3 linked regions of the Neurospora crassa OR74A genome follow. The protein of the gene in region 1 interacts with the protein of each later gene in a pairwise test. Links are inferred from orthologs where the notes say so. Each region holds a gene or a part of one and is shown in the gene's direction. Other genes may lie near its edges.

Evidence for each region.
Region 2: the proteins of NCU04316 (region 1) and NCU03219 interact in binary tests that used the Saccharomyces cerevisiae proteins (3 or more experiments, as listed by UniProt). The link is inferred for Neurospora crassa OR74A from reciprocal best matches to the Saccharomyces cerevisiae genes KEX1 and KEX2.
Region 3: the proteins of NCU04316 (region 1) and NCU08067 interact in a protein complementation assay, tested with the Saccharomyces cerevisiae proteins (2 studies listed by BioGRID). The link is inferred for Neurospora crassa OR74A from reciprocal best matches to the Saccharomyces cerevisiae genes KEX1 and SHO1.

Annotation. Positions count from the first base shown.
Region 1 is NC_026505.1:5,592,474-5,596,527, reverse strand, and holds NCU04316 (pheromone processing carboxypeptidase Kex1), read left to right. Parts: upstream 1-1,231; 5' UTR 1,232-1,468; coding exon 1,469-1,656; intron 1,657-1,726; coding exon 1,727-2,087; intron 2,088-2,141; coding exon 2,142-3,572; 3' UTR 3,573-3,791; downstream 3,792-4,054. Other genes in the region: NCU04317 (DUF431 domain-containing protein), read right to left, coding at 1-153.
Region 2 is NC_026501.1:4,941,406-4,945,602, reverse strand, and holds the start of NCU03219 (Kex2), read left to right. Parts: upstream 1-1,319; 5' UTR 1,320-1,497; exon of another isoform or gene 1,498-1,547; 5' UTR 1,548-1,893; coding exon 1,894-3,617; intron 3,618-3,677; coding exon 3,678-4,197.
Region 3 is NC_026501.1:156,625-160,851, forward strand, and holds the start of NCU08067 (osmosensor protein), read left to right. Parts: upstream 1-1,412; 5' UTR 1,413-2,654; coding exon 2,655-2,804; intron 2,805-2,882; coding exon 2,883-3,191; intron 3,192-3,252; coding exon 3,253-3,762; 3' UTR 3,763-4,227. UniProt on the Saccharomyces cerevisiae protein: Plasma membrane osmosensor that activates the high osmolarity glycerol (HOG) MAPK signaling pathway in response to high osmolarity.

The DNA of each region.
Region 1 (4,054 bases):
GGGGACCTTGAAGCCCTGGGGCAGGGAAGTCAGATGGAACTCGGAACCGATCTCTTGCGATTCCTTGGCGATAGCGAGGTACTCGAGCTCGGACCAGGGGCCCAGCTCCTCATCGAGGTGCTCGACGATGTAGGTCTTCTTGGTGGCGGCCATTACTACGGTAGCTGGAGTAGGAATTCAAAAACCGGCTCAAAAGTTGTGCTGGGACCAAGATATTCAAGGATATCAAAAAGGTCAAAGTGAGGGTTAAGTTTGTGTGTAAGTGTTTGGACGATCTCACAAGGCCAAGACTAACATTTTCTTGGTGGAGCTTTCTGATGGCTTGGTGGGGTTCTCCGTGCCAAGATGGACGGCATGCCGTAACGGTGATTCAGTTCGGCGATCCGGGCCCGGGTTGCCTTGCCCGTTCTCGGAAGCCGGCCCCGCAATGTCTTATATCATCATTCCGGCAGAGATCCCGGCGGTAGGGGCTGTCCGAACTGAGGGATCATGTACATGTCTGATTGTTATGTCTAATTGTTGTCTCATACACCTGGGGAGAGTGTGGATGAACTTGTAATCGTATATACGAGGAGCTCACGCTTGACTGCCGAGATGAGTCGTGCTCGCGGACAATCGCTCGGTTGTTCAGGTCTGGGCCGATTTTATGAGCAGCTGTTCAGTTCTTGCCGATATCCGGATTTAGAAACTTTCGTCTGATGTTTTCCTCTAGGGCTGCTCTTTGTCAACCATCAGGGAGTAAAGTTGTCGAAGAGGTTTACACTCTGTCAAGTCATGTTAGTGGCTGAATAAGGCTCCGTTTATTCACGTCCAGATGCGGTGCCTGAAGATCTGGAAACAACCTTGGAAGCTCTCATAGCGAGTAAGTTGGTGTGTAATTAGAACTCTGTCCCCGATTCCATAACTATACAATAAGTTCTTGAGGCATTAGAATATAGCAGACAAGGACATTAAGAGTATTATCTTTCGATATCGACATTGCTTAGGTTGGATAATCGAAGGAAGGAGAATGGAACTGGCTTGCGCGTCCATCCACGAGGCGCATGGACTGAGTGACTGCATGGAAGAGAAGACCAGGCCCCCCAGCTATGTGTTAAGCTAGCATACCGGGATCGCCCAATACCACTAACAGGGTCCCTTACTTGTAATGAGATTGCCCCCTGTGAGGTCTAGCTGAAATGGAACGCCACTATCCGTGCCGCAGTGGCATTCATCCCACGTTGTACACTATTGTCCGTCCGCCCCAAGGACAGATTCCCTCTTTACCGTTTCATCCATGGATGCTGTCTCGGAGCAACATCTCGACCTTTTCAGAGTTCCTACAACTTTTGCCGTTGTCGTCGGCCTTCTTCTATCCTCCCCCATGAATGTGGTTGGTGGTGATAGGTAGCCAAACTTACGACAATTGTCTCCTCCTCCATCCCACCCACCACAACTGAACCCAGCGACTTGAGTCCAGTTGGTGATCATGGCCGCCACCACCACTACCACCAATGCTGGCCGGTCTATGGCTAGCTGGAAACGACTGTCGACTCTAATCGCGGCATTCACGCTGTCATGGACATCCAGCTTCGTCGCCGCTGCTGGCTCCGCCGACTACTTTGTCCATGATCTGCCAGGCGCACCAGATGGTCCTCTGGTGAAGATGCATGCCGGGTAAGTTCACTGTTGCTGCGCGAATCCAATATGTTGGGGAACACCAAGGCTGACATGTTCTCACAACTAGACATATCGAGGTCACCCCTGATAACAACGGCAACCTGTTCTTCTGGCACTTCCAGAACAAACATATCGCCAACAAACAACGAACCGTCATCTGGCTAAATGGTGGTCCTGGTTGCAGTTCCGAGGATGGCGCATTGATGGAGATTGGTCCCTACAGACTGAAGGACGAAAACACCTTGGTATACAACGATGGCGCATGGAACGAGTTCGCCAACGTCTTGTTCGTCGACAACCCCGTCGGCACTGGCTTCAGTTATGTCGACACCAACGCCTATATCCACGAGTTGACCGAGATGGCCGCCAACTTTGTTACCTTTTTGGAGAGGTGGTTCGCTCTGTTCCCAGAGTACGAGCATGACGATGTAGGTGCCACACTCTGAACCTCTTCGATTCGTTCTGTCTAACCGATTTCTCAGCTTTACATTGCCGGAGAGTCTTACGCCGGTCAGCACATTCCCTACATCGCCCAAGCTATTCTCGAACGTAACAAGAACGCTGGTCCCGTCAATCGCAAATGGAACCTCTCGGGCCTCCTCATCGGCAACGGCTGGGTTTCCCCCAAAGAGCAATACGACGCCTACCTCCAGTTTGCCTACGAGAAGGACATCGTCAAGAAGGGTACCGACCTCGCCAACAAGCTCGAAATCCAACAGCGTATCTGCCAAAAGGAAATCGCCGTCAAGCCCGACAAGATCGACTACCCCGAATGCGAAGCTATTTTGCAAGACATGCTCCAACTGACTGCTGGCGGCGTCGGCGCCAGCGGCAAGAACCAATGCTACAACATGTACGACGTCCGCCTGAAGGACGACTACCCCTCATGCGGCATGGCCTGGCCCCCCGACCTCAAGAGCGTAACCCCCTACCTCCGCAAGAAGGAAGTCATCAAGGCCCTCAACATCAACGATAACAAGTCTACCGGCTGGACTGAATGCAACGGCCAGGTAGGCATGAACTTTAACCCCAAGACCAAGCCGTCCATCACCTTGCTTCCCGACATCCTCTCCGCCGGCGTTCCCATCCTGCTCTTCTCCGGCGCCGAAGACCTCATCTGCAACCACCTGGGCACCGAAGCCTTGATCTCCAACATGGAATGGAACGGCGGCAAGGGCTTCGAACTCACCCCGGGAACCTGGGCGCCGCGGCGCGACTGGACCTTCGAAGGCGAACCGGCCGGCTTCTGGCAACAAGCGCGCAACCTCACCTACGTGCTCTTTTACAACTCCAGCCACATGGTCCCCTTCGATTACCCCCGCCGCACGCGCGACATGCTGGATCGGTTCATGGGCGTGGATATCAGTAGCATTGGCGGACAGCCTACGGACTCGAGGCTCGACGGGGAGAAGTTACCCGAAACGACGGTCGGCGGCGCAGCAGGGAATAGCACGAGCAACCAAGCGGCCGAGAAGGCCAAGTTGGAGATGGCCAAGTGGGAAGCCTACCGCAAGTCAGGCGAGCTGGTTCTGGTGATTGTCATTGTTGCTGCGGGCGTGTGGGGATGGTTTGTCTGGAAAGAAAGGAGAAAGACTGCTGGGCAGGGGTATATGGGTGTTGCTACGGGCGAGAGACATAGCATTTCTAACAACCCGGGACCTCGTGGGAACCTTAGTGGTGGTGGAGATAGGACGAGAGGTCAAGGATTGGCAGGTTTTAGGAACAAGAGAAGCGGGAGGAGGGATGTTGAAGCGCAGGATTTTGACGAGAGCGAGTTGGATGATTTGCACTTGAGCAAGCCGGAGGACCCGCATGCGGATAGTAGGTATAGCATTGGTGGTGCTAGTGATGATGAAGAGGAGCAAAAACCGGGGAAGGGTAGTTCTAGTAGGCAGCCTGGGGGGAGATCGTGATTAGTTAAGTGGTAGCTCTTGGGTGAAATGTTGACTTGGTTATTCTTATAGACTATCGGCGTTTCTGATATCCTTGGCAGGCAAGCTGGTACGGGTTTTGGCTTGGGTATTTTATGATACAGAAAACATCACACATTTGTGCACAGGACCAACGGTACTATATACAGAGGCATCTAACCTCAACGCGCCATGCAATACTTACACATTACATAAAATAACAAGTCACGTATCGTGATGTTAAGGCTTTAGGCAATTTGAGTACCATCTTATCTTGAGATTGATCTGCACAATGAACCATTCCAAATTGACGTAAAAACATCAACACCCCTTTTCCTATGTTCGCAAATCCTATGCCCCATTAATCAGAAGGGACCATACACGGTGAAGAACACTTTTTTGTGCATCAGATTTGACCCGAAAAGCATCCATGTGAAGACTATCGTAACATAACTAACGTAAGAAAAAAAAAAAAAAAAGAAAAA
Region 2 (4,197 bases), on another chromosome or scaffold:
CTATGCTGCTCGACTGCCCGCACAAAGACATCGTTGAGCATCTAACGACGGAACGTGGCCCTACAGAGTCAGCACTGACCTGTACAGTGCCCGGAGTGTTGTGGTATGTAATCAGGTTGTCCCAGGAGAGTGGTGGCCGGGGTACTTGTCTTATACATGACGCTTAAGAGCCGTACCACTGGGTAACCAGAGGTACCTACCTTTACGGCTCCATGATACTGGTACAAGCGCCGCGTTGCTTAGTAGAAGATTGCTTGAGGTTACTAGAGGCAAAACAAAGAAGTAGGTAGGTAGGTAGGTATAGTGGTTCACATCGATACAGCCCACCATCTTGCCTTCAGTCTCCCTTTACACGACTTTGAGTTGTCTGTGGTTGTTTGGCCGGGTTCGGTGACCTGCCCGTTGGCGTTGGCGTAAAGCCTCTTCGATTCTTTGACAATGCCGAACGAGTACCAAGGGAGCAACACCATCATAGAAGCCATTCATCCTTATTGAGGTGAGAAAGCGGAAAGGCCCAACCCATACGCAAACGCCTCGTTTCACAAACATGTTTCGAAGCCACGTTGTTTTCCGCAGGCAACGTGAAGACCGTCCACCTCTACCGCCATGCATGATATGGGAGGCGTCAATGGAAATGCTGTCGTCGTTACCATCTGTGTCGGAACCAAAGGCTGAGATATGCACAGTATACTAAATTTTCCCCAAGATACCATCGATGATAGTGGGAATTTTTGAGCATAGATGATCTTCAAAGTTTCGTCTTGTCTCGCATGGCGAATACGGCTGGAATGTCGGTTGAAGACAAGACGAAACCCGGAAGATGGGACGTTTGACAGTGCACTAGGTACGGAACATTACCGAAACCCCATCCCTGAGCAGCGCCTTGAACATGGAAAACTGAGCAAAGGTAAATCTCGGTGATCGTTCCAACAAGACAAGGTATGATTGGTATAAAGACGGTTCTATGGTGTCGAGGGGTGTAAATCAACATCTTGTAACGGCGCAGAATACATGTGGAATGCTGACACTGCTCCTGCCCCATGGGGGCCCGGGCCCCCCTTACAAGGGGCCCCTAGAGTCTCGGCCCCACCAGAACTGCCGCCTCATTCAGGGTCCATACCTCTTGAGGTAGGTAGGTTCCGTCCTTCTCTCTGCCCCTGGAGGTGTTGTTTCTCGCTTGGCAGCTGCCCTGTACCTGCCTACCTACCTAGGTACCAACCGGTTCCAGCCTGTTGCCCGGGCCACTTGCGCAGCCCGTCTGTGTGCATTACCCCTGCGCTGTGGCGGGATGGTTTTCAACTAGGCCACATCGCCAGATTGCCGAACTGAACTTCCAACAAGTGAATTCTCCATCTTCAAATCAACCCATCTTCCTAATCTTTTTTGTGGTGAGACGGGGAAACTGTGCCGCCTTTTTCATTCCCAGCCTATACAGGATTGCTCAGTGGGCCTATCTGATTCTCGACCGCTGCTACGGTCGCGACTGGGCTTCGTCCTGTATGCTGTGCCCTCTCCCTCCTTGATTCCGTTGCTTATGCAATAAATAGCTGTCTGACCAGTTCCGCGCGAAGCCTCCATGTCCGTTCGACAGGGACGAGCTTTCGATTCGACCTTCCAGTCTCTTCTCAGTCGCCGGGAGCCGATGCCGTCTTCGTAACATCATTCTGATTATTGGCCAACACCGTTGCTATCCCTGGCGCTACTATTCTGCCATATTTGAGATCGAATAAGACACTGTTCTGCTTGTCTCTATATACCTACACGAGCCGGTCGTACAAATTCGTCTTTGGTGCTCGACACCGCAACCAACTGAAAACACTTACACAACCTTGCGCATCCCCTGCGAAGTAGACCGACCTTGGGCCGCTCCAGATCATTTACCCGAACTCAGCTATGAAGCTCTCGGCTATCGCAACGCCGCTGGGCTTGGCCGCTCTGGCTATAGCGTCCAATGTCCTCCCCCGCGACTTCGATTCGAACGATTACTATGTTCTTCATCTCGATGCCCGAACGTCACCTACTGAAGTTGCCAGGAGCCTAGGATTGTCTCATGAGGGGCCCCTTGGTGAACTCCAGGATCACCATCTCTTTGTTGGGAGGAAAGCCGAGCACGATATCGTCAAGAGAGAATTGACGGAGCGCCGGCGCCGAAAACGATCATTAGGCGACGAGCCCCATGTTCTGGATAGTGTTCTCTTTTCAGAGAAGCAAATTTTGCGGAAACCTTGGGAGAAGCGCATGGTCCCCCGACCAGTAGGACCCTCTAGAAGGGGTCTCTTTTCCGATCAAGAGGTTGACTGGGCAGTCAAGAAGCAAAACGAAGTTATCGGGAATTTGGGCATCAGAGATCCCATATTCAAGGAGCAGTGGCATCTTTTCAACACTGTCCAGACTGGGCACGACGTGAATGTTACCGGGCTTTGGCTCGAAGGCGTCACTGGAAAAAACGCCACCGTCGCCATTGTCGACGATGGCTTGGATATGGAAACCGATGACTTGAAAGACAACTACTATGCCCAAGGGTCATGGGACTTTAACGACAAGGGTCCTGATCCAAAGCCCCGATTAAGCGACGATAAACACGGAACTCGCTGTGCCGGTGAAGTTTCGGCCGGGAAGAACAAAGCCTGCGGTGTGGGAGTAGCATATGACTCCAGGATTGCCGGCCTGCGTATCTTGTCAAAGCTGATATCTGACGCTGATGAAGCCGTTGCTATGAACTACGACTTTCAGCACAATCAGATTTATTCGTGCTCCTGGGGACCCCCTGATGACGGGCAGAGTATGGATGCTCCCGGAATTCTCATCAAGAGGGCTATGCTCAATGCCGTCCAGAAGGGCCGTGGTGGGCTGGGCTCAATCTATGTCTTTGCCAGCGGCAATGGTGCAGGAAACGGAGATAATTGCAATTTCGATGGCTACACCAACAGCATCTACAGCATCACCGTCGGAGCCGTTGACAGAAACGGCGACCATCCCTATTACTCTGAATCGTGTTCCGCGAATCTGGTCGTGACATACTCCAGCGGCGGTGGTGATTCGATCCACACGACTGACGTTGGGAATGCTTGTTCTGATACTCACGGTGGTACCTCAGCTGCCGCTCCGCTCGCAGCTGGTATCTTTGCTCTTGTTCTGCAGGTTCGCCCAGATCTCTCATGGAGAGATATGCAGTATCTTACCGTGAACACTGCTGTTCCTATCAACCTTGACAGCGGCGAGTGGCAGACGACTGCTATTGGCAAACAATTCAGCCATATGTATGGCTACGGCAAACTCGACAGCTACGCCATTGTTCAGGCAGCCAAGACCTGGAAGAAGGTGAAGCCTCAGGCCTGGTTCTACTCTCCTTGGATCCATGTCAATAAAGCAATTCCCCAGGGAGACACGGGAGTTGCCGTCAGCTATGAAGTTACGCAGGCAATGCTGGATGAGGCCAACGTCGAGCGCCTGGAACATATTACGGTTACCATGAACATCATGCATACTAGACGAGGAGATCTTAGTGTTGATCTCATCAGCCCTAACAATCTGGTCAGCCATCTTTCGGTCAGCCGGAAGAACGATGAGGCCCGCGCTGGCTATGATGACTGGACATTCATGAGTGTCGTTCACTGGTAAGCGCACGCGTTACCGCAATTATCCGAGGTAATCTTTGCTAACCTGTACATAACCAGGGGTGAAACCGGCGTCGGTAACTGGACAATCATCGTTAAAGACACCCAAATTAACAGTCACGAGGGCGTCTTCACCGATTGGCATCTAAAGCTTTGGGGCGAGAGCAAGGACGCCTCCAAGGCCAAGGTACTCCCGATGCCGACCGAGGAAGACGACAACGACCACGCCGCCATCCCCACGACCACCCTCCCCGCTACCACGACCACCCTACCACCTCAACCCATCGCCACCGACACCAAGCCCAGCACCGTGTCCGACCATCCCAACCGCCCCGTCAACTCGAAACCAACTCCCACCGACGCCCCCAACCCCTCGCCCACCTCTGACGAACAAACCTCGGAGACCACCACTCCTGCAAACAGCACCTGGCTGCCCTCCTTCCTGCCCACATTCGGCAAGTCAGCCGCCACCATGGTCTGGGTCTACGGCTCCGCCGCCCTTATCGGTGTCTTCTGCATCAGTCTGGCTGTCTACTTCTGGCTTGCCCGGCGCAAGCGCCTGCGCAACAACCCGCGTGGC
Region 3 (4,227 bases), on another chromosome or scaffold:
CGCTAGAGAACGGCGTCACGATTGATCAACAGGTTAGGCGACCGCGAACAAATCACTGGGGTTGTGCGTATGGAATACGACACGCCGTTGGTAGCGCGCGTGCACTTTACGAAGTGTGAAGAGCAGATCAACAGTGGTTGGCACATTCGTACGAGAACAATGCTAGTGACCAAGGGAATGGGGCAGATGTCATTGCGCGGCAGATATCACGCGACAGATGCGCGGGAGTCGGGCGTCATCTTTGGCCCACTGGAATGTTCAGCCGATATCAACACTCTGCTCGCCGTTAGCACCGACAAAAACCAGATCGACGGTGCTGTGGTAGCGCTCTATCTGGAATGAGAATTCACGGGAGAGGCTTTTTACAAACGTCACAAACACGCTTGATAGCCGGCAGTGATTGTTTGGCTCCTGCAGATGGGATTCCGAAACGAACGGCGTTGCCCTAGAACTCACGCGGCGAGCCTAAAGCCCCTGCCTGCATGCTGCATGGGTGTGGATTCGTGGCATGGTGAATCCGTCTCTCTGTTGACATTTTCTGCCCGTCACCGAGCTCAGCTGAGTGATGTCGCATGGTAGCCAGCTCTCAGCCTATCATTTACAGTCGGTCACGATGTTTCTGGACGACCTAGCAATGAGTGAATGGAGCACAGACGCAAGCCACATGGCTAGCTGCCTGACTGACTTCCGAGTGTTACAATGTTGTGAATGTTTGAGACTTTTTGACTATGAGTTTGAACAGTGTCGAGGTAAGATATATCAAGATGGAAGAAGAAAACAAGAATAAAAATAAAGATGTCCTGGCCATGACCCAGTACCCTAGAGCCATCATTCACTTTGAACAGGTTAATCACCCAAGCAGAGTCTACCTCTAGGTAGGTATGACTCCCCATCAATCACCACCATCAGCTACAAAGACTGTCAAAAAGTGCAGAAAAAGAAATCGAGCTGCTACAGTAGCCCGCCCTGTGTCTGTGTACCTCTAATTTGCTCCATGCTCCCGTCCCCACACAGCCGCTAGAGGTACAGTAGGTAAGCAGCGCCTGGAATGTCTTGGCCTAACGATTTGCAGTGAGATTGAGGACCGTGCCTCTTCTGACTGGACATTGCATTCATTAGCCCAGCAAATGCAATAATGCGATTGGCTCGTTCGCAGTGTTGCCGCGTGTTGCCCGGACATTGTACCTATGTCACTGCAAGGGAAGGATTCATTCATTGTGCAGCGAGCAGCCGCCAGGCAACGCACTCCAGGAGTCCAGAGCCTCCACAGCGGACATGGCTCCCCCCCATCTTCAGTGGATTCAGTGGGCTCCATTGTTGGTCCCTTCCTCACTTCTCTTGCGCGGTCTCGTCCACTCGTTTCCACAGCAGCAGCCACCTCATCCCCCCCCGGTTGCTGCCCGCCCCGGAGTCCCTCAGCCAGGCCCCGTCGTTGGCCTTCCATTCCGGATCTCCCACCACCACCCAGCCGTCGTCACCCACACCCACACACACACCATTTCCCTTTTCACGTCCCCGTCCGTCCGTCCTGCCCGTGCGATCCCCTCATTTCTGTTCGTTCCCTCCTTCAATTTTTCTTCCCTTTCACTTCTCCATTGGCCGGCGTTGATCATCGCCCCAGCCACGTCCAACAACAATTTGCTCAATCCATCAATCGCTCCCTTCGTTCCCTCAACCTCATCAACCTCGACGACGACGACGACGACGACGACGACGACAGCATACGATTGTCCGACCCTGAGCTGAGCTGAGCCCTTTATTAACGCGAACCGGAACAAGACGGGGGGATAGTACAATACGACGTTGGCAGGTACCGAGATATCACACCCGACTACCGTCATACACCGGACAAACAAAGAAAAAGGGAAACAAAAGAAGAAAGAAAACAGGAAAAAGGAATCCAGGACCATTTCCAGACTTCCAGTGGACTCTTCTACCGCCCTTCTTCCAACTACCGATTGATCTTGCGTGTTTACCGTATCTACCCATACCGTACCGCCGCCGCCATTCGTTCCAACGGACAACTACCGTACCGTCACATCTCCCGACCCGTGCGACCGACTCGTTGCTTATTTCCCCTGAAGATTCAAAGGCTCTGTCCTCGTCTTGAGTGTCCTTGGAGTACCCGACGGCCACTTCCCTTGGACTCAGCCTCCTCTTTGCGGATTGCCAACCAACAAACACCCGACGGAGCAGCCCGACAGCGACCACCCAATCTTTCAATAACATTGCAACTGTCCTACCTTCGACTCATTTCCATACATCGCCCAATTACTACCTACCCATATTTGCAACGACCGAGACGAGCCATACCGCGTTGCTGGACACCGAATTCCTCGCTCAACGTCTTGCAGCAAACGACAATTGCTACCCGACCCGAATTTCTTGCTTCGACTTCGACCACTTGTCGCCGTCGAACTTCCTCTCTTTTTTTTTTCGTGACATTGCATCTGTCATTGCAGAACAAACACATCGCATTACCAACCGCGGACTGGTCCCCGGAATACGACACACACACGGCCCCTCGCCGTCATCTTATACCCCAAGTGAAGGTGTGCGTCAACTAAAGTGTCCCACACACGTCGGTCCATCACTTATAACACGGACCTCGAATATCCCGAGAGGACGCTCTTCCTTGGCGACCTTCGCCCTTGATGCAATCGTACGGAGGATCGGTTAACTATCCCCCGTCCTTCAACAACCCCAAAATGGAACACGGCAGGAACTCGTACCGCCGAAAAGGCATAGACATGGGCAACATTATTGGTGACCCATTTGCTCTGGCCACTACTTCTATTGCTACTGTGAGTTTCCATACGCGCGCGCGCTGGCGTCCACCCTTTTCCCGTCCTGTCGCCTTCACGAACTGACAATCACCACAGCTGTCATGGATCATCATCCTGTTTGGATCCATCTTTGGCTTTAGGGACCAAAATGACGGATCGAATGGGGCTCCCGTCATTGTTTGGCCAACCTACAGCTGGTTCACCCTCGTCTTCAACTTCTTCCTCATTCTCGGCATTTTCATCGTCATCGCCTCGGACAGCGCTCAGACCTACCATGTCGCCATCGTTGGCTACCTGGCCGTCGGGCTGGTCGGCTCCACGTCGTCGATCAACAACCTGATTTACAGTGGCGTTGCGTCCATGGAGGCGACAGCGGCTGGGTATATCTTGTTGTCCATGGTGACGGTATGCGGTTCCCCGCTAACTTCCCCCAGCTGGCTGACCCCATTTGCTAACGTCCCGCCAGATCATCTGGATATTCTACTTTGGCTCCGCCCCATCGGCTGTTCCCCGTGCCTACATCGACTCCTTTGCGCTGACCAAGGAATCCACCCTCCCTGCGCATCACATGAGCCGCCAAACCATGAACCACAACGGTCTCTCCTCTCCCAATGCTTACGGCTCCTACAACATGCGCCCTGAAACCTCGGCCTCGGGCCTCCAGCCTCCGCAAATGTACACGGGTCAGCTCAACGGGCTCGAAAACCCCGCTCGCCAGTCGCAGATTCCCCAGGGTTTCTCGTCCAACAACATCCCCAAGCCGCAAGGAGAAGGGGAGATCGTTCCGCCGACGGAGTACCCGTACAGGGCCAAGGCGATATTCAGCTATGAGGCCAACCCGGACGATGCCAACGAGATTAGTTTCTCCAAGCATGAGGTGCTGGAGATTAGCGACGTGAGCGGGCGGTGGTGGCAGGCACGGAAGGAGAATGGAGAAACGGGTATTGCGCCGAGCAATTACTTGATTTTGCTATGAGCGGGCTTGAATGGGTCGGGGATGGAGTTGAGGTTTTTCTTCGTCTTTTTGAAAAGAGAGGATTTGGCGTGTGAACCGCCAGTACAAAACAAAATCATGAAGTGGTTTTTTTTCTTTTATCTATCTTTCTTTTGAGTCGGCGTTTTATACCCACATTAACGTTACACTTTCTTCTCGACCACCCACGGGACTCGTAATGCGACACACCAAAAACCGTGGCTCGTTTGGAAACGAAGGCGAAACCGGATGTTGGATGCGGACGGGGCAAGGTTTGGGTGGAAATGGAGTTTTTTTTCCCTTTTTTCTTGCAATGTCATTTTTCTATCTTCTCTTACCCTTTTTCTCAATGTCTTTCCTTTCTCGTGTTACACTAGTTCTTGTATCAACTTTACATGTCTTCTATTTTGCGTTCGGCAGCTACGGCAGAGGATAGGCCGCTACTGGAGAATGGCAATGGAAGAGGGA